Coturnix japonica: one gene and its partner. The protein of the gene in region 2 purifies or fractionates together with the protein of the main gene of each other region. This does not show direct contact. Links are inferred from orthologs where the notes say so. Each region holds a gene or a part of one and is shown on either strand. Other genes may lie near its edges.

The links.
Region 1: the proteins of POLR3E (region 2) and POLR2K purify together in Homo sapiens (affinity purification with mass spectrometry; 3 studies listed by BioGRID and IntAct, with this or other methods). This does not show direct contact. The link is inferred for Coturnix japonica from reciprocal best matches to the Homo sapiens genes POLR3E and POLR2K.

Annotation. Positions count from the first base shown.
Region 1 is NC_029517.1:116,282,740-116,293,198, forward strand, and holds POLR2K (DNA-directed RNA polymerases I, II, and III subunit RPABC4), read left to right. Parts: upstream 1-5,299; 5' UTR 5,300-5,319; coding exon 5,320-5,394; exon of another isoform or gene 5,395-5,425; intron 5,426-6,195; coding exon 6,196-6,259; intron 6,260-6,963; coding exon 6,964-7,056; intron 7,057-7,225; coding exon 7,226-7,248; 3' UTR 7,249-7,714; downstream 7,715-10,459. Other genes in the region: SPAG1 (sperm-associated antigen 1), read left to right, coding at 8,885-9,024, 9,390-9,549. UniProt on the Homo sapiens protein: DNA-dependent RNA polymerase catalyzes the transcription of DNA into RNA using the four ribonucleoside triphosphates as substrates.
Region 2 is NC_029529.1:8,323,847-8,334,389, reverse strand, and holds the start of POLR3E (DNA-directed RNA polymerase III subunit RPC5), read right to left. Parts: upstream 5,692-10,543; 5' UTR 5,566-5,691; intron 3,622-5,565; 5' UTR 3,577-3,621; coding exon 3,541-3,576; intron 2,726-3,540; coding exon 2,675-2,725; intron 2,113-2,674; coding exon 2,035-2,112; intron 1,226-2,034; coding exon 1,110-1,225; intron 162-1,109; coding exon 79-161; intron 1-78. Other genes in the region: EEF2K (eukaryotic elongation factor 2 kinase), read right to left, coding at 8,935-9,044, 9,380-9,558, 9,915-10,039, 10,423-10,543. UniProt on the Homo sapiens protein: DNA-dependent RNA polymerase catalyzes the transcription of DNA into RNA using the four ribonucleoside triphosphates as substrates.

The DNA.
Region 1 (10,459 bases), on a different chromosome or scaffold from region 2:
CTGAAATCACAGAGAAAACTTCCCTTTCATTCCAACAGGATTGTGGAATTTTTTTGCTATTATTATTATTATTTAATCAGCTTTATGTTACTGGTTCTTGAAATCACTAAAAGCAGCCCTCAAGAACTAGCAGAAGGTCTGATAATAGATTAATTAATAAGAAAATACCTTTTTCATTAAAAAAGATTTGCCCTCTGGGTACAAAAACAAACTATGTATGCTTACCTGCCTTAGTATTTAAATGTTGTTTTTAAAGGTATGTGTTTTTGCACAGCTCTGTGGATAAACTAAGTGTTCTGAAGATTTACACTTTGGATATTGTCTATTGATTGTCTATACATCCTCTCACAATGTATGTAGAAAGTTCAGGAAGAACTTTGCAAGTACAAAAGTGTTTAAGAACTACTATATATTCTCCCCCATCCAAAAATAACAAATGCTGATGCATACACTTAAGTAATAATTGTAAGAATACAGAATGACTGATTTTTGCCATCCAATAACGTGAAGTTTCTTCACCTTGCCCCAAATCACAATAGATTGCTGCTTTATACACACAAGATATAATAGTCATAAAGGAGACATTGCAGACAATGCTATTATAAGGGTTGTTTCTCACAGGAAGAAAAAAAAGTCAAGAGCCTCAAAGTTTGAAGTGGCTGATTTCAGTGGGGTGTTGTTGGCCTCAAGACCTGGTACCTTGGAACAAAAAACTGGAATTCATCACTGAAAACAAAACTGGAATTTTTATAGGTGGCTTAAATAACAAGCATGAAAATATCACTATTCATATCACTGACACAGTCAGGACCTAAGCCACCAAATACAGCTGAGGCAAACTCAAACTCTTAGGGAAAGAAGGGGGAAAGAAATTATCCTGTGATGATCTAGGGTCAATTTTCAACCTATAATGAAGGCACTCTATAAGAGTTGCAATACAGAACATAACTTCATAGAATCACCAAGGTTGGAAAAAATCTCCAAGATCATCTAGTCCAATCATCAACCTACCACCAGTATTTCCACACTAAACCATGCTCCCCAGTACAACATCTGTACATTTCTTGAACACCTCCAGGGATGGTGACCCAACCACTATCCCAGGTAGCCTTTTTCAGCACCTGATCACTCTTTCAGAGAAGAAATTTTTCCTAATATCTAACTTGAACCTGCACTGGCACAACTTGAGGACATTTCCTCTTTCTTGTTGCTAGCAAAAAGAAAGAATAAGCCAACAACCACCTCACCACATCCTTTCAGGCAGTTGTAGAGAACAATGAGCTCTCCCTAGAACCTCCTCTTCTTCAGACTGAGTAACCCCAGTTCCCTCAGCCACTCCCCATAAGACTTGGGCTGCAGACCCCTCACAGCCTTTTTGCCCCTCTCTGAGCACCCTCCAAGACCTCAGTGTCCTTCTTGTAGTAGGGGGCACAAAACTTGCGTGTAGTACTCGATGTATGGCCTCACCAGTGCTGAGTACAGAGAGAAAAACACCTTCCTGGTCCTTCTGGCAGCTCTATTACTTACATAAGCCACTGGACTTCTTGGCTACCTGGGCGCACACCACTGGCTCATGTTCAGCCAAGTGCAACTAACACCCCAAGGTCCATCTCCTCTACACAACTATCCAGACATATTGCTTTGTTGTCTACAGTGAGTAGACTGCAATGCCAGTCCAGAGGACCGTGAAACTTGAGAACAGTCTGTGAGACCCTGACATAAAGGTCTGTGGAACCAGACTCATGGCAGTACAAAACAAGATATGTTTAAATCAAAGAATGCACCTAAATGAAAAGAATTTTTGCAGAAAAATTAGAATTAGAAGACAAATTTGGCCTGGTTATTTTCCCTTTCCCATATATCTCTACGAGTACATTATTTTCATCTTACTCTAGTACCTCACCTTTGCACCTGCTTTTCCTCATTGCTTTTTGCTCTTTCCTTGGATACACTCATTTAGCAAAATGAGAATGGAGGAAATTTGAAATACCACAACACAAAGTATATATTACGTTTTTAAGCAGCATAAAATTGCAGGGGAAAAAAAGGTTTTTACTGCTGTTGGGATGATCAGAACGGCAGAGTTAAAGCAGCGTTGAAACCTTAAGCAAAAGTGAAAACTACAATGTCAGTGAGCCAACGTCCAGCAGGAGGAGCCTCCGAGCTTCCTATATGGATTTTGCCTGTATACTAGTTATATTCATAAAAAATACTAGTTATATTCATAAAAGCTACCTCAAAAAACATTTTCAGACTCATTTACTGCTTTATAAGGCACTCTTATTTGATCTACCAGTTTTGATGTATAAAACCGAGAGTTTACTACTTCAGGATCTTGAAGTAATTGCTGGAAGTGTTAGGTTCCTTTTAGGCATCAGGAAACAGACAAGCGAGGAAGAACAGACTAGTCATATAGTAAGGACATATCAAGCTTGCTAGAGAAGAAGGAACAAAAGACATGCCTGTCCCTTCAATTTCTCTAATAGTTTTTTCCAATTCTGTAGTCTTCAAATTGGCCCACAAGTCAACAGCAAACTTTCTGGCAGTTTACAGAACAAAGAATTTCATGTTCATAGAGCCAAACTAAATAAGGGCAGCATTTGGACATTTGATTGAGAATAATATATGACACACCTAAGCTTAGAAAGCATTCTAAAATGGAGGAGGAAAGAATGCTGTTTACTGGAAAGCAATGTGAATGGCTTCTGTACCACAGATGAGTTCTAGAATGGAGCTACCCAAGCTTGATTCTAACTTACATTCCTTGGTAATGCACCCTGTACAAACCTGCCTCTAACAAAATATTTTCTACCCTTATTTGTCACTGTCCATCCTGTTAACCGAACAGATAAAGGTGAAGCTTTGGTAATACAGATCTACTTTATCAGATGTTTCATTAGAAATCATACTTGCAATAAAACTGACTTTATCTGAAGTCTCTAGTCTTAGAGCTCCCAGATCTAATGCCATCGATACCTTAGTTCAATCCTTTTTGTCAAATGGGGTTAACTTACCCTATTTGTGAGGCAATTGAAGATCCTCCACAGCAAATATACTGAATTCAAAGCACTATTTAATCCCTTACCGACAGCCTAAAGTGAGACAGGGCACGAGTAGAAAAGAGAGGTACAAAAGAAACGTTAATAAGAAGTGGGACGACAGCTGAGAAAGCTTCCCCTCTGTCTATACATGCTTTCACTGCCACATCCACCTACCAGCAATGAGGATAACTGATGCTACCTAGGGAGCAGTGTCGGGGTGAGGGGGCTCTCTCAGTCACCTGGACTGCTGGACACGAACACACAGCTTCACCTCCTTATCTAGCACACTGCTGGGCTGAAGAAACCGACCATAGAGGCCCCCACCACCGAGAACAGCCTGAGGAGGTCGGCGGGGCTGCCAAAGGAGATGAAAGGCGAGGCTGCCCTCCCTCCCGGCCAGCTGGCTGGGAAAGGCGGGGATCCTGCCGCCTCCACAGCTCGCCGCCCAGCTTCAGGGCCCGTTGCCCTTAGTGAGAAGCCGCTTCGCTTCTCTCCACCCACACCGGCTTCTCACGTGCGGCTGCAGCCGCTTTCCCTCGCTTGGGTTTGAACTGCCCGCCTTTACCAACCGCTCCGTTCTGCCACCCCAGTAGCGCAGCCCTAAGGCGAGAGCAGGGCGGGGGACGGCCTGAGGAGCGCTGCCTCCAAGGATGCGGACGGCACCATCTGGGCTCCGTGCTCTCATCGTACTTTATACTCCAGCTCGGCGGCTCCCGCCGCTCCCAGCCCTCCATAAAGCGCCCCGGTGCGGCCCCTCTGCCCGTCCCGTTCTGTCTCTCTCAGGAGCCGGGCTGAGGCGTTCCCGCTGCTCACAGCTTCTCAGAGTCGGGCGGGAGGCACCTTCAGCGGGTAGCCCGAGCCCTCACAGGTGGAACGTTGTCTGCACCAAGAGCTTAAAATCTGAGATGTAAGGGTGCTGATTAATTCATTTTAATTAGCTTATTTGTACCCGACAGCTCAGGAGCTAGATAATCATACAGAACTTCTGTTTTTTCTTTCATGGTTTACGCTTACGGCTCCACCAGAAACACTGTGAGATAAAACATGCTTTAAATCGTTGGGAGTAACTCCGAATGTAACGCCTCCACCCAGGGCAGAAAGATGGAGGTTCTCCGTGGTAACTAAGGCTGAGCAGGGCGGGCTCCATCCCCCCCAGAGCGGGGAAACGGGGCGTCTCGGTGTACGGGTAGTGCGACCGGAGGGTAACTGTAACGGGTAAAAACATTAGGGTTTTTGCGCTGGTTCCTCGTTCCATTTTAGAATGCGAATTAAAGAGTTTAGAAATGGAATCCAGGGTTTCCCAAAGTGCTTTCTGTAGCAGTTTCACGCCAGTCGGAAGAATTTCTCTTCAGGACCGGCGTTTATCAGCCCGTCGGAACGGGGCTATACCCCGAGGGAGGCGGCGTGAGGCACAGAAGTAATGGACGTTTAAAAAGACTCCATCCCACCGGGGAGCAGTTAAATGATGGATATAATCAAGATAATGAATGATTTTCTCGGGACAATCGATATATATTTTTTTCTCATGGGGTATAATTAGTAAGTAGGTTTTAAAGCATCACCTCGATGCTTTAATCATTTCGTCAAACCCGTTTTAAAATACAAAACGAGTGCGGGGAAAGATTATCGGCTTTACTTTAATTTCAGTGATTAGTTACTTGTGAGGTGTTAATTACTTTGTGTCCATCACCGGAGGAAGGGATCGTTCCGTTTTGGTTGGTTGATTTTTGCTCCCGGCAGCAGCTCCCACCTCGGAGGACCCGGGGCAGCGAACATCACTGCCGTGCACGTCCCGTTATTCTTACATGTGTTTTATTCCGGCACTAAGAAGTTACACTTAACTTTATTTTCGCACAGCAGCAAGACAAAGCCGATGAGCCGCCTAGAAATCCTTAGCACGTTGTTATTACTTCTAGCTTTCCCCAGGAGACGGTTGTTATTCGGCGTTCGGAAAGACGCATTTCCTCACATCAGGGAGATGTTATCTACAGAGCAGTATTTGTTATACGTTCTTACGTACCTGAGGACGTGCCATTACTCACACAGGGACGCCTAAGGGGCACCCAGCACTCGCCCAGCTGTAGGGCTGAGCCGGTGACTGACAGCACCGCGGCTTGCCAGTTTGTTTCAATGCGGGAATACATGGCACAGACCGCAGGGTACCGAGATTTAGTTACCAGCGCCAGGCTCAGCTCACTAGCGCTTCCAACTCTCACTCCCCCAAGGCTCCATCAGCCGCTATCCGCTGTAAACCCGACACAGCGCCTTAAGGACGGCGATGCAGACCCGCCCCCTCCGGCTTTGCGTAGTGACGCCATCATTCGGCGCCGAGGGGACGGCGAGGAGTGTGGAGGTTGGTGCCGCTTTCGGCTTATCCCTGCCGGGTTGGTGGTGGTGGTAGATTCGGGGTGAGGGGGGAGTGGGGAAAGGGTCGACCAAGCCCCTGGGGGTCAGTGGGGAGGAGGCGTGGCTGGCGCTGAACCGAGGCGGGCTGGGGGGGGATCATTGAATCATAGGCTCATAGAATGAGCTGGGTTGGAAGGGACCTCAAGGATCATGTAGTTCCAACCCCCCTGCCTGGCAGGGCCACCAAACATACACATTTACTAGATCAGGTTGCCCAGGGCCCCGTCCAACCTGGCCTTGAACACCTCCAAGGATGGGGCATCCACAACCTCCATGGGCAGCCTGTTCTAGGACCTCACTGGTCTCCTAGTGAAGATCTTCCCCCTAATATCCAACCTAAGTCTACCCTCTTTCAGCTTAAATCCATTTCCCCTTGTCCTGGTATTATCAAGAAGGGGAGAAAAAATGCTTTCTTTCTCTGTATGGTCACAACCTTAAAACGTAGGTCTGCAGTAATACCTACATGTTAGGTGGGGGTTGCTAAAAAATGAATTGTTTGTGGAGTAGTTGTCTGATATTGTGAAGGAATGTTGGTGAACCTGAAGGCAAAAGGTTAGCGTGCCAGGACAAACAGAAGTCCTTTCCAATGTGTATCATCTTATGTAGCATATATTAAACAGAGCTTGAATATTTTTGTATTTATTTTAAAAGAACTTTTTCAATTTCTGTCAACTTTAGATGGAGATATTGAAATATTTGTGTAAGACAACAACAAAAAACATGTATTTTATTTGTTGTTTTTGCTTAGAACATGGATTCACAGAAGGACGTTCAGCCCCCAAAGCAGCAGCCAATGATTTACATTTGTGGAGGTAAAGAAAAGACATTAGTGGTATTCAATGCTCTAATAATGAGGAATGTGCAGTCATAGTGCCACAGAGTACAGAAATCTACATAACTGGGTTGTGGATCCTGATGATGCATTAAGCTTTATGCACTGATGCTCCCATATGCATGGATTACTTGTGGTTATTGATGTGGAAGTCGTTCACTAGAACCTCTGTTGCTGTGTGGGGGTCCTGCATCTCTAGAGGATGATAGCAGAACTTTTATATATTGCATCTTGGAGACAAAGTTTTTTTGGAAATAGTGTTGTCATTCAACTTTCACTAATGCACAGTTGTCAGATTTTCTCTACCTAAACATAAGTTAATAAAGTGAAAATTGGAGCTTTTGAGTAACCACTTTAAAAGCCTCAGAAAAATTTAGGCTTAAGAAAATAAACTTGGTGGCTCGGAGGGGCTGAGAGGAAGGTTTCATTAGTGGAGTGTGGAATGGTACAGTAATGTTTGGATACTTTTTAGCAATCTAAGTTTGCCAATTCTTTTTTTTTTTTTTTTCCTTAACAGTATCTTAATATAATTCAGTTACTTATTAAAATTCACTGCAATTATTTTCTGTTATGCTTTGTTTGCTAGTAAAAGGAATTAGACCATTGTTACATCTGAAAGCTATCTGTGCTTTAGATATGCTGCTTTTGTTCACTCATTGCTATTCTCCTTCTCCATCATATCAGAATGTCATACAGAAAATGAAATAAAGGCAAGAGATCCGATCAGATGCCGAGAGTGTGGGTACAGAATAATGTACAAGAAAAGAACAAAAAGATGTATCCTTTTACAAAGGCAGTCGAATGCATTTGGGAAGCTGTGGGGCAAGCTGTGTAAGAAAATTGACTTCAGATTTATGCATTCCCTCTTTTTGTTCTCCTTGACCCCTTTCCTCCCCTGATCTTTCCTTGAACTGCAACGCATTTTTCTTTAACTGCACAATTCCAGTGGTGGTTTTTGATGCCCGGTGATTTGACCTGAAGATACATCAATTTTATACTTCAGTTTAATATTTCTGGCAACTTTGCTCTGTAAATCCATTGGTGTATAAATGCATAGTTTAGTGGTTTAAGATATTAAAATATTAAACTTCACTGTGATACTACTTGCCATACCATCTCAATTCTGTCTATACTACTTTTAGAAATGGGTTTCTTCCTTAAACTTTAGTCAGAATGTGCAGCATTCTGTTAAATTCATTGGTATTATATTCATTTTTGAGTTAAGTGTTAACCTTGTTTTCACAGCTCACACCTAAGCCTTACCTGTGTTTCAGCTCTTCAGTGTTTTTTGGACTCCTGTGAACTGCATAAGATAATCTTGGTTTGAATAAATCCCAGTGAAGACATATTGAAAGTCACGCAAAATCAGGTCTGAAATTTGGATTTGAACTCGACAGGACCCAAATCAGGATAAAAATAAATGTGTAAATAGAGATTCTCAGGCTGTTTTGTGACCTTGCTTGTACTCACTAAAATAAGTAGGTCTACAGTATAAAGAAACCTTGGATAAGGTAAAACTGAAATAACGTCATTTTGCTTTTCGGATGATTTCTCATGAGTCTGTATTAAGAAGTGGTTGCCGTTTTGTACTGATAAGCCCAAACTTTTTGCATCCATTTTCCTGTTCAGAACATTTATATTCAGAATATTTAATACTAAAATACCCATAGCGCCAATTTGTCTTAAAAAACACTGCTGCTTTGTGTGTGGTGCTAATTTAGCCTGATTAAATGCTTGCAAATCCAAATTTTGTTTCCAGTGCTGATGAGGCTGTTGAAAGACAAACATGTCATTTCACTGTTATCTGTACAGTATGATACCACTATTAGGGGGTGTGCTGGCTGCTGCAGAAAGCAACAGGGATGGGTTTTAGTGGGCCCAAGGTTGTGGGCAGTGGTGAGGCTCAGGGCACTTGGAAGAGCGTCGGACTGGATTTAGACTGGATGAAATACTACACTGAAAGCTGATGTTTTATGGAAGCTCAAACTCAACGGCTGTATTTCTGAAGGGAATACCCTCTCTGAAGTCAAATCATTTTTAAGAACCATTTTATGGAAATTATATTTAATAAAATATAAATTAAAGCAGTGTTATATGTTCCTAATAGTCAGAACGTTGGAGAGCTGCAGCTCGAGCGACCCCGCGCTGACAGGGCCGGCCGAGCCCCTCAGCTATTCACTCACTACGCGGCGCTCCTTCGCCATCGCTCCGCTGTGCATGCGCGGGCAAGGCGGGCGTCCACGGCGGAGGTGAAGGCTGTTAGGAGCGCGGTAGGTGGGTGTCAGGGCCGTCGTGTAACTCCGTGTCCTCCACAGAGCCGGCGGGGCTCTGCGGCTCCTCGCAAGGGGTTGGCTGTGTGGTTTCTTGCGGCTTCTCCGTCTATTACCTCCCCACAGCGCCGCCGGCCGCCATGTTGTACATAGCAACGGCTGCTATGTTGCCATTGCTGCCTCTCGGTAGATCTCCGTGAAGAAGAAATCGTGGCATCAGGTCATCAGGCAGTAGTTCTGCTGCAATTAGTACCTTGTAGCATTAAAACACGGCTATTCCTTAAATTAGCATTGCTCTAGCCCCCAGAGATTTATTTTTCTTTTAATGTTTAGTGATGAGTGATGCGTCAATAATGTATTTGCTGGACCAAGGAACTACTAAAACATATCAAATACCTATTGGTCATCTCGACTACAAGTTCATTGAAAAATGTACGGATGTTCCATACCTGGAAAAGATTCTCAAGGTGCTAAGGTAAACGTTATCTTTAATGAACTTCATTACTAATTGTATTCCCATTCTATCTCTCTTGAACCTCTTTGTAGTTTTCGTATTTAAAACCTTGAAATTAAGATGCACTGTGAAAGTAATTGTGGTAAAAGCGTCCAGATGATTAAATGAAGAGTTAGAAATTCAAGTCCACAGTGGATCTGTGTCTGTATGTCTGCTGGAAAATGGTTAACTGAGATTTTCTGATCAAAATCAAGAGGTGATAGATTTCAGTTAGAACAGGAAAATAACACTCTATAGTCACTGCATACAGACAAGTATGGATGTTTGTGGGGAATGCAGCGTAATTTAGTTCCCCTGTGTAACTTGCTTATGTGTTCATTTTAAAGGTCTGGTGAAGAGGGATGTTATCCTGACCTGATGTTGTTTTGTGAAAAGCGTATCGAGCATTTAGCTCCAGGGAGCAGAGTTCTCAGAAAGGATAAGCCAGCAGCCACAGCAGCTGATTTTACAGCTGAGGAATGGGAAACAATTAATGGTGAACTGATGGTACTGTATGACTCTAGTTCATTGTGGTCAGTAATGTAACCTCTTTGTTTGGTCAGTCTTGACTGATTGTTCAACCTCATTTTGTGCTTAAGTAGAACACGATTATTTGATTAAATGAGGAAATGATAGGAGGGTTCTGTTGTGGTTTTCTTTGTTAATATTTATTGAGATAATGCTAATTACTCTTTAATACCCATCATAACTCTACAGAACATATTTGTATATTATTATTCATTCGAAAAAGCTCAAAACAATTGCAAACTGCGTATAGAGAATGCACTTTTCACAATCTTTTCATGAAAGAGCAGATCATTTTTTCCATACTGTTCAGTATGGAACATACTGAAGATCTCTTTGCAACTGAAAATATTGAAGAAGTCTAAGTGGGCATAAGCATTTTAGATTATATTATTTTAGCCAAAAAACCAGAATCTCTAGTAGTGTCATTCCTTAGTAGCACCCCTTGCCTGTGATAAAAAATCCAGATGTATATATAACAGAAACACAGAATCACAGAACTGTAGGGGCTAGAAGGGAACCATCAGAGATCATCAGGTCCAGCCCACATGCCAAAGCTACAAGCTGCAAAGGTAGGTGTTCAGACAGGACTTGAATATCTCCAGAGGAGGAGAATCCACAACCTCCCTGGGCAGCCTGTTCCTGTGCTCCATCAGCCTCACTGTGAAGAATTTGTTTTGCATGTTGGTGTAGAACTTTTATGCTCCAGTTTGTGGCTATCTGCCCTTGTCCTGTTCCCACAGACCACTGGAAAGAGGTTGGCCATGTCCCTTTGACTCCCACACTTAAGATATTTATGAACATTAGTAAGATCAACTCTGAGTCTTCTTTTCTCAAGGCTGAACAGACACAGGCTGCTCAGCCTTTCCTCATTGGGGAAATCCTCCAGGCC
Region 2 (10,543 bases):
AACACAGAACAAACAGCTCTTATTTAACCCAGAAATTCACATATTTCACTGATGTGAGGGGTAACAAAACAAAGTCACCTTTTCTATAAACAGCAGCTGCATAGCGGGAAACATTACTTGCAGCTTGCGAAGAGCAGAAAGTTTGTTTGTCCATCAGCTTCCTGCAAACAGATGAATGCTGTAAGATTATATGCTACAGGCAACGTGGCATACAGATGTTAAAAGGCCTGAAATCACAAAGTCTCAAAATGGTCCATCAGCAAATACTTTAAATACTGAGGCTAGTTTTGTGTAACGTTTTAATCAACAATCTGCATGAGGGCACTGAGTGCACTCTCACTAAGGCAAGACTGTTGATCTGCTTGAGGTCAGGAAGGCTCTGCAGAGGGACCTAGATAAGATTGATGGGCCAAGTTACATGACATGACATGAACTAAGGGTAAGTGCTGGGTCATTAATAACCCCATCCAGCAGTACAGCCTTGGGGCAGAGTGGCTGGAAAGGAGAAGGACCTGAGCATGCTGTGCTGGTCAGCAGCCAGCTAATGTGAGCCAGCAGTGTACCCATGTGGCCAAGAAGGCCAATGGCACCATAGTCTGCAACAGAAATACTGTGACCAGCAGGACTGGAAAGTGATTGATCCTTTGCATGCAGCGCTGGTAAGGCCACACCTTGAGCACTGCATTCAGTTTTGGGCCCCCATTACAGGAAGGATATTGACTTGACTGAGCATGTGCAGCAAAGAGCAATAAAGCTGGGGACTACAAAACAAGATTAGGAGGAATGACTGAGGGAACTGGAGTTGTTTAGTCTGGAGAAAGGAAGGCTCAGGAGAGACCTCAGTTCTCTATAACTGCCTGAAAGGAGGCTGCAGTGAGGAGGTGTTGGTCTCTTTTCTCAGGTGACAAGTGATAGGACACAAGGAAACAGCCTCAAGTTGTGCTGGGGAGGTTTAGATTGGATACTGGGAAGAACTTTTTCATAGAGAGGCACAAAGGTGGAGCCCTCACTCCTGGAGTTATTAAGAGATGTGTGGATGGACATGGGCCTAATGGACATACACATATCTGCACACCGCAGAAACAAAGGAAAGCAAACAGGACACCTACGAGGAATAGGTACTTGTTTCATCTGTACAAGTGCCATCTACATTGAGAGCAATCTGTTCTCCTTTGCTGCGACAGTAGTTTGGATTCAAAGTATCAATGGCCATTTCCAGTTCAACCTAAAAAATGTGAAAGAAAAGGCAAATTATTACGATGGCAGAACTCCAGATGTATAATCAATTAAACTTACAAATTACAGCCACCACCTCACTTTTATTCCCCTTCATGTTACTTGTAAACTGAAGTAGTGACCAGTCCCTGGTTATGATGGTAGATTTATACATCTGCTAATTCTAATTAGAAAAATCCTTAACACAGCATAGGCTGTGACTCCAAAATTCACATAAGCACTCTCCTCAACTATTTCCCAGAAAAGAATCCTGCTATCACACACCCGTGAGTGGTTTTTTTCATTTTTTTTTAACATGAGGCATTTTAAAATCACAGCTACAGGTTTGGAATTCTTCTGTAGTCAAGTGAAATCATTCTGGCTTTGGTTATACTTTCACCACCCCACTGATTCTCAAACGGGACAGCTGATGGTTCACAGCCAGGCAAAGGAAGAATCAAGACACACAATGACTCTAAAAGACAAAGCACGCCTTCAAACCTCAACAAAATTCTAAATATTGTGAAAGTCTTTAAAATCAATCTTGTACAGACTGAATAACAGTAGCCAGAGTTTCCTGAATGATTCTGTTTTTATATATTTTTTTCCATTGTGACATTCATTCCTCTCTTAATAAACCATTCTTCTTTTAAGCTCTCCTGCAGTCTTACAGTGACAGACTCCCTGTTCCCCAAGCACAGAGATCTGGTCCCACAAGCTGCACACTTAGAACAGCTTAGCAGCCCAGTGTAATGACCTGAAGCACATTCCAGACAGTGTAACACAACTTTCACAGACTGGACTCAAATGATGACCAACCTTTTGCTGCTTTGGCTTTATCTTCGCTGATAAATGTGTAACATCATCATATGTCATGGAAGCTGGACGAATTGGGTACTGCAAAACACATCAATTTCATAGAAATTCTTAATTTAAAAGCAAAAGAATTTCACAGAAATTTATTAAACCCTGCCTGACCCTTTACATGTAAAGGCACTTTCCCGATGGTTACAAGATCTCAATGAATGACTTTTGTAATCTTGTGAGTCATCAGATCTCCAAGTATGGTCTAGAAAGCTTTCCCCTCCAACCTCTGCTGCTGTCACTTCACCCTTTTCCATTTCCTGCCTCCAACACATCACTATGTGCTATAAGACAAGAAAATGGTACAACACATTAATCCAACAGCAAAAGGATGTAAAGCCATGAAAACCCGTTAACTCCATGACTAAATAAACTCCATCTCCTAAAATAATTCCCTCAGGGTTTATAGGCAATGATTTAATGTTAAGCCAATGCCATAAACAATCACTCTTCTCTTACAAACAATTTAATACTAAATGTTTCAACTGAGACCATACAGCTTTGCCTGTTCCCTGTAAGAGGTAAATAAAGCTATTGCTCTTTCCATTAATTTATTTTAAACAAATTTTCACTAAATAAAAGCTAACTGAAATACCTGAAACAGATACAACTTCTCCAGCAGACTTCTGGCCAGGAATACATCAATCTGAAAGGCAACACAAACAACCTGCATCAGATAACAGCTATGATGGATGGAGCCTCAGGCATAAGTACAATCCCTAGAGCTCAAATACTGTGAAGAATTGCTCCTAATTATGAACTGTATATAAATCTCACTCATGACTTGATAAAAGTCGAATTTCTGCTGATTTTGACTTGTAATGTAGCAGCTGGATTCTTAGAGAAAAAAAAACAACACAACTATGATGAGGCAGGAGACAGCGCTGCATATTTTTGTCTCTGAAATGAAACAAGAAATTTGTTTGTCTGTGGGGCTGAAGTGAATCTATCATCACAATCTGAGAAAGAAGAGGATGTTCTCATCAGCAGCATGACTGAAAGTTAACTTCCTTGCTGGTGTTTTGCCATGATAACTTTCTAAGCTAGACAAAACACACCCACGTGCCAAATCTCATTTTAATACAAGCACTTTGCCACCAACACCTAAAATCCACAGATGTGTCATGAAGATCACACACAGACGTTTCCATTTTAGGTACCTTTCGAGACACTTCTGTCAAACCCCGCTTGTCACAAGCTTGTCCTCGCTCATATCTCTGGTGCATGAGTTCATACACAAAGTGAATGAAACACTGGGTACTGTTTGGGGTGGAAAAGATCCTTAAGGAAGCCCACAATTGCACTACAACTGCTTGTTTTTAGCAGAAGGTATAAAACTGTTTCAGCTTCATTTATAACAGATATGAATTCATCAAAATTGTAATTAGAGCAATAGAACAGAAGTTGAATAACACAAAAAAAGCCACACGCAGAACCACTGCAGCCACAAAGCACGTTTACCTCTTGTATAATTGGATCATCTTCTTCATTTGCCATGCTAGGATACAAAAAGCTTTTCCTTGGCTTATTCCTTGGCACAATCTGAAAGAAAACAGATATGTCATATGAGTCACTACATCTGTGCCACGTACCACACAGAGCCTAGACTGTTTGTTCAAGCACACACCACTTTCTTTTCAGTGCTGAGCTGCTGTGTGTGTTGTGAAGGAGTGTTCATGTTGGCACAACGCGGCCCCTCACACCTCACCACCTCTACCAACTGCCACCAACTCCAAACACAAACAAGAGTCTCGAAAGTAATTAAGCTCCTGAAACTTTGATGAAAGCCAGCATAAGAGAGAGCACTAAACCAGAGCTCTGCAGAGGGAAGGACAGGCCTTCAGTACTTGTGTGCAGCAATACCCTTTATATCCTGTGTGACTAGTGCACCCTGGCAGCAGCTGGTTTTGCAGCCAACATGCCCAGGCTCTGAAATAGCCACAGCACTTGTCACCGTCACTAAGGATGGTGCCGTGCTGCTCACCAGCTCTCCCTCCTGCTCCAATAGATCTTACTCTCACCACTGACACACACTCACCTCTTTGCTGGGCTTCCTAGAAAGAAGAAGGGGCAGCCAGTGACAGAAGAGAGACAGAAGCATCCACTCTACATCCCCAGCTGTGCTGATTATTTTCAAGTACACAATTCACCACTTACCCATCCCAATATATTTCAACACACACATGGTTTTCTCAGATCATCGCACTAACATCCACAGTTATCCAAGAGATGTGGCACTGAAGCTCAATGAGCACCGGGCACTTTGCAGCTCCCAGAAGCACATCCATGGCCACAAGCAGTGAGATGTGTCAGCTCCAGCTCAGTGCTGCACATCCCATGTGCTCAGCACAGTGCAGCACACAGACAGCTCGGCACAAAATGGAGCCTTCATTCAGAACAGAGCCAGCACCGGGAGCACATGGCAGCCCTGGAGGTGGGAGCTGCAGGTCTGAGCCCTCTGTCCTGGCCCTGTGTGGGGATGGGGAACCTGCTCCTGCCTGACAGCCAGGTGTGTGCTCAGCTGCTCCTTCCCTCCTGACAATATTATATCACTTTTCCAAACAGAATTTCAGATTTCCTGGGCCAAGATGAGAAAGAGAAACTCAACCTGAAGGACCTGGTTCCTCCTTGGGAATCCAGCTCATTACTTACAGAAAACATCAGATCACAATTACAACTTTTCTTAACCACTTATTGGTAAGGAATGACTGCAGGTGCTTTCATGGGAGGACCAGAACAGACCTACACCAGGAAGCAGCGTGTCCCAGAACAACGTACAACATTCGTGTGCAGAATCCTCTGATCAGAGCGAAGCTTCCACTGAAGACACGCAGACACAATTAATTCTGCATCTGCAGTTTGCACGTAGATACAGGAAGGAACCCCACAGGAATAACAGAGTGGAGTGAAGCTCAAGGAGGTTTCAATCATGGCCACCAGAGCATTTGTTTCACGTTTCCTCTTGCCAAGATTGCTCCCTTTACAGAAGGACTTTCCTGTGCATCTCAGCACCAGTGCAAGTTATTAGTGTGAGTCATTGAGCCTCTGAGCACAGAAGATACAGATCTCCTCAGCGTGACCAAGGCTGGGCTGCCATAACCACCCTCCCACCATCAATTCAGAACCAAACATGAGAAAAAATGCTCTGACCAGGAAAGTCTAGAACTGCCACGGGGGAACCGAACGTTTTTCCTCTCAGGTTCAGCCCCGAATGGCGTGTGGGCACACGGAGCACAGCCGTGCACAGGGGCAGCGCAGCCCGCAGACCCGGCCCGACACTGAGAGGAGCCGAGAGGAGCCGCGGGGCCGGAGCCCCGTCCATCCCCTCAGGGCCCGGCCCGGTGGCTCCTGTCAGCGCCCCGCGCCCGCTCCCACCGCCCCACGGTGCGAATAGAGCCCGCAGTACAGGCCGCACCCCCTCCACCCCCCGCCGCTCCCGCTCCCGCGCGGCCCCGCAGCAGCACGCGCAGCCCCGCACCCGCTCACCTGGCGGAGGCGCCGCGCGGGCGGCCGGGCCGCCGGTCCCCGGTGTCGGTGCGCGGCGCGGCGGGCGGCTTCAGGCGGCGGCCATGTTGGTGTCACTGCGGCCGGCACGTGGGGCCCCGGCCCTCCTCCTACCCACAATGCTCTGCCGGAGCAGCGCGGCGCGGCCGCCAGGGGGCGCTGCAGGAAACAGAGGAGACAAAAAATGAACCGCTGGCAGCGGTGGGATTCGAACCCACGCCTCCAGGGGAGACTGCGACCTGAACGCAGCGCCTTAGACCGCTCGGCCACGCTACCGCCGTGCTCCGGCTTCTTCCGGCGCTGCCTTTCACTGCGGCACCGAACGCAGCTGCGGCCGAGACGGCACCGAGCGCTGCCACGTGTGCGCGATGGGAAGGGGGCTGAGCGTCCGGCGCAGCGTGGGGCGCGATTCAGTTCTGTGCTGCAAAACCAGAGCTCCGTTAATTTGAGGAGTCAGCAAACAGACTGCTGGAACTTTCTGCATGTCTCATGACACAGGAACTTTAAGTTAACTGGGCTCTGCTGCCCGTTTCCTTGCAGCAGTGTGTGGAGACTGGAAGTTGCTCAGCACGGCCCCAATGTCCCTGTGCAGGACGCAGACACGGAGCTGCGTGTGAGATCTTTGAGATCTGCGCCACCCCTGTACGGCGATGACACGGGGCTTTGTCCAAATTAAAGGGAGCTTTCTGTCAAACTCAAGCTATCTGCCTGGTTACATCGCTTTGCGTTACACTGAGGCAGGAGTTGGACAAGGTTATTAACGATACCCAAAGGCCTGGCCCCACGGGGCTCTGGGCCCCAAGGGTGGATCTGTGCTTACTACAACCAGCCCGACTCAGTGCTGCAATGATGCCAGGGATGGAGCCGAATCCTCCCTTTTACAGCACAGGTGAGACCTCCCGACTCAGCTCACCAACACTAAGCTCACCTACACTCAGGTCACCTACATTAAGCTCACCCACACTCAGCTCACCCACACTACGTGTGTCTTGGCTGTCACGCTGCTCCCAGAACAGAATGCAGGTCTGCATGGAGAATTGTGAGGTCCATGTCAGTCCCACGGAGCACAGCAGGGTAACAGACTATTCCTGTAGTGTGCTGGCTGCCTCCATGAGCTCTAACGAGCTCTAACTGTTGTGCTTTCCACCACCTGCTCCAGTTACCCAGCACTATTACCAAGCAGATGATGGGAGGGGGCAGGGAGTGACACAGGATGGGTGTTTGCATGTCTGCTGCACTAAGAAGGGGTTCCATCATGTCCTCACCCCAGCCGTGCTCCCACTGACACTCAGGAACAAAGCACCCGGATAAGTGTCACCAGGCCAAACCTCAAGACTTATTCTCACATTTTTTAAAAATACAGATTTTTCTTTATTCATTGTGAATAGATTAAAAACACAGCACAGAGCATCATTCCAACAGCCTGGCAATGCAGTTCTCTTTATCTTCAAACGAACATCACAAAACAAATTGTGCATATTTCTGTAAATGATTTTCAAACTGCTCTCAGCCCTCCTCACTGTACAGCTCACTAACAGGATACCACCCGAGGGCTCAGGGTAGTCTACAGCATTAAAAAGTATTGGCAAACAAATTACTGATCATGGTATTTTTTTCACTGAGCTATGTGGATGGACATTGACATATCAGATCTATGGAGAGCTGTCAGTAATTACTGAATGTAGCAAATGAATCTACATCAAGAAGTGTCAGTAATTACACTCTACTCCTTTACTTACACATTTTGGACGGTTGCATTCAATCTCCTCTCCTCCCTACATGGCTGGTGGGGTTGTTGCACGTTTGCTTCCTTCTCAAGGAAAACCTCAAACTCTTGGCACCAACACCTTACAGGGAAAACAAAACCTTTTATCTCCATTCATTAGAATGCCTACACTGTAAGTTCAGCACAAAACACTCACTGTTCAACCACCTTCAGAGGTGAATGGTACATTTGCCTTTCATCACCAAGTAATAATTAAACAATATGGAGAGCAAAAAGGCCACCGCCATGTATGGCTTAAGATTATGCAGACAAGATACAGGAATTCAAGTGTTTGGGGATTATAGTGTTTCCTCCTTATCAGCAATTTTCTGTAACTGACAATTAATACCATTAAACCATTCTCAGTCTCTTCTGAAGAACCTTTTAGAAAGCTCAATTGTAAACTACAGGAGATGATGTTAAATTCAGATGAAAACTCCCTGGTGTTAATACCATGGAAAATAAGCTCTGTACCGTATGGTAGTATTTAATAAATTACCCAACATAATCTGGAAATTTACATATATATGTGCATCTATCCTTCATCATTCAGCTCAAATCTATCAAAGCATCATGTGAAGTTACTATGTGAACCATAAGAGAGCAGATAAAACACACAAAGCCATTTAAACCAGATAAATTATTTTCCATACATAGCCATAGGTAAATCAACATTGCCTACGTTTTACAAATATCCCTCTGGAAATGCTGGAAAGTGTATTCTCATTTTCAGCGAGATGTCCTTGCTTTGCCAAGAACTGAGATGTCTCTGTAAAATACAGTACAGACTGGAAATCACTGGGTAAGTACTACATGAGATCAGCAGAATCCTACACAGTGAGGTTGTTATATTGTACAAAGTGTGAAAATGAGAGCGGTAGCTGGATGCCTCACCTCCTTAGGATCATTGGTGTTCTTCTGATAGTAAAATATGCAATGCTGGCAACAACATTCCGCCCTGAATAACCTCACTGTTATTCTGAAATCTTTTTTCCTCCACCTCTCCAAACTCCAAGGATTCTATCTAGAATTAATCTGAAAATAAGCCAGTGCCCACTGAAAGAATGGGACTTGTTAAAAAGAGGAGCTGCATGCTTCACATGCTTATATTGCACATTTACATTCACATGCAAGTTTGGTGAGATACGCCAACAATGAAGAAATGCTGTGAATGTAGGGAAGTTTATTTATTCTGTGTGTGGGGGGAGAAGAAAAATGTAAACACACTGATCAGCTGCTGCATATAAAGCAGAACATGTGAAACCCAAGCAGTCATTGGGTTCGCTCTTCATCCAAAAAAAAGTGAAAAATAAACATAAAAAAAAAAATCAGCCTCATCTGTTCTAAGAGTTAAAATATATGTCTATATAAAAGGTCAAGAGTGTCTGTACTACAGCTTGAAAACACTTGACAGAAATACACTATAGTGACCTACATCCCAGCTGCATTTGTATTTTCATCTTCAAAAGAAGTTAGAAAACTAAAAGTACAAAAAACCGCTAACGCCACAAAAATATATCTTTTTAGCTGCAAACGTAGTAATTCTTTAAAAAAAGTTTATATACAAGAACTGCTTCATTGAAATGTCATTCTTCCATCATCGCCCAGGCCTCTTCTGCTTTCTGGTAGTACTGATTTGCCAGTCTGCCCTTCATTGCTTCCATTGCTGCTTCTGCTGCTTCTGTGTAGAGATCACCTAAGGCAAGAAACAGTATCAGTCACACTGACAAGATAAAGGCATTTCTCTTTATCATAAAGGACAAAAATAACTTAACTTAACTTAAAATACAAGCAGCAACCTGCAGTTCAGTGGCCTCACAGGGAGTGAAGGATAACGCCAGCTTCTTGGTGTGCCACAAGACTGGAGCAGGCACCACCCACTACCCCTGTCATCAGGGAAATCTTTTCCCTTCCCTCCCCCCCAGAATTTTCAGCCTTACATCACTCACTGTCATTACAGCTTGAGATTACCGAGCCTCTGAATGCTTTATAGCAGCTGAACAATGTATATATAAAAAAACGTGGACTCACCTGATCTCTGTGGGTCCTTGTCCAGGTGGAACCCTCCTGTCATTAGCATCTCTGCTTCCCTGGCCAGGAGCAGATACCGGGGCTCATCCTGAGTGCCATCATATTCACCTCCCTCATCATAGTCAGTCATGTTCAGGGCAGCGTTGTACCAGTACAGAGCCTCCTTCCAATCCTGTGCTCTGATGTTAAAAAACATTTACAAGGTTGTTACCTTAGGAAACAAATATTCCTTGCACTGTAGATTCAGAATTCAATTTTGCACTAGACTTTCAGAGCTTTGATGGCCTTCAAAAACACAAATGTTTTCACAGAGGCTCACTAACTCTGCATTGTAGCACCAGGTCACTATACCAGGTGAGGCTGGGGTCACTTTATGGAGAAGTTATCTCGATGAGCTCCTCAGTGAGCTTTCATTACCAGTTATATGCTTTTGGTCTTATGGCTTAATAGCTCTTCATGCGAACAGAAGATGTGCAGCAATTATAATATTCAAATACACTAACTAGAAGTTAGATTACTCAGTCATGCACAGTACCTGTCTGAACCTAGATTGACACCTGTATCGTATGCTCTTGCTACCAGAATCATGGAAGGTCGGTCTCCAGCTTCTGCTGCTCTCAGCAAATAATCAAATCCTTTTTTTCTGTTCTCCTTTGTGTCCTAGTAAAATAAGGAAAATCTCTAAGACAAATGTTTTTAAGTAAAACCACCCCATCCTTTCTCTAACACTAAATGCCTGTTCTGCAGGTTACTAATGGCTGCAAGTGTTGAACATGTCTGAAAAACAGGCTCCAAATTGCTGAGGAGATGAATAATAAAATTACTTCAAAAAAACTTCCTAAAGATACACAGTGATTTCCAGCAATATCATCAGCAGGCAGTGGTTTTGATGCTTTGTCCAAGTCCTTAACTACAAAGTCATGCATTTTCTCTGAAGAGGCTACAGAACATCATCACTATGTCTCCATTTCCTCCTATTCTCATATTTTTCCAAGTGAACACGACTTTGGGTTTTCAAATTTTCTTTCCTTTTCCTTGTTTACCTCTAAGGTGACCTCAGAAAGAATGTGATGTGGCAGCTGAGAGCACATGAGTCCCAACCCAACAATGGCTTCCAGCTCCCCGCAGTCTGCAGCGTGCTCCAGGTGGAACAGAGCCGACTCA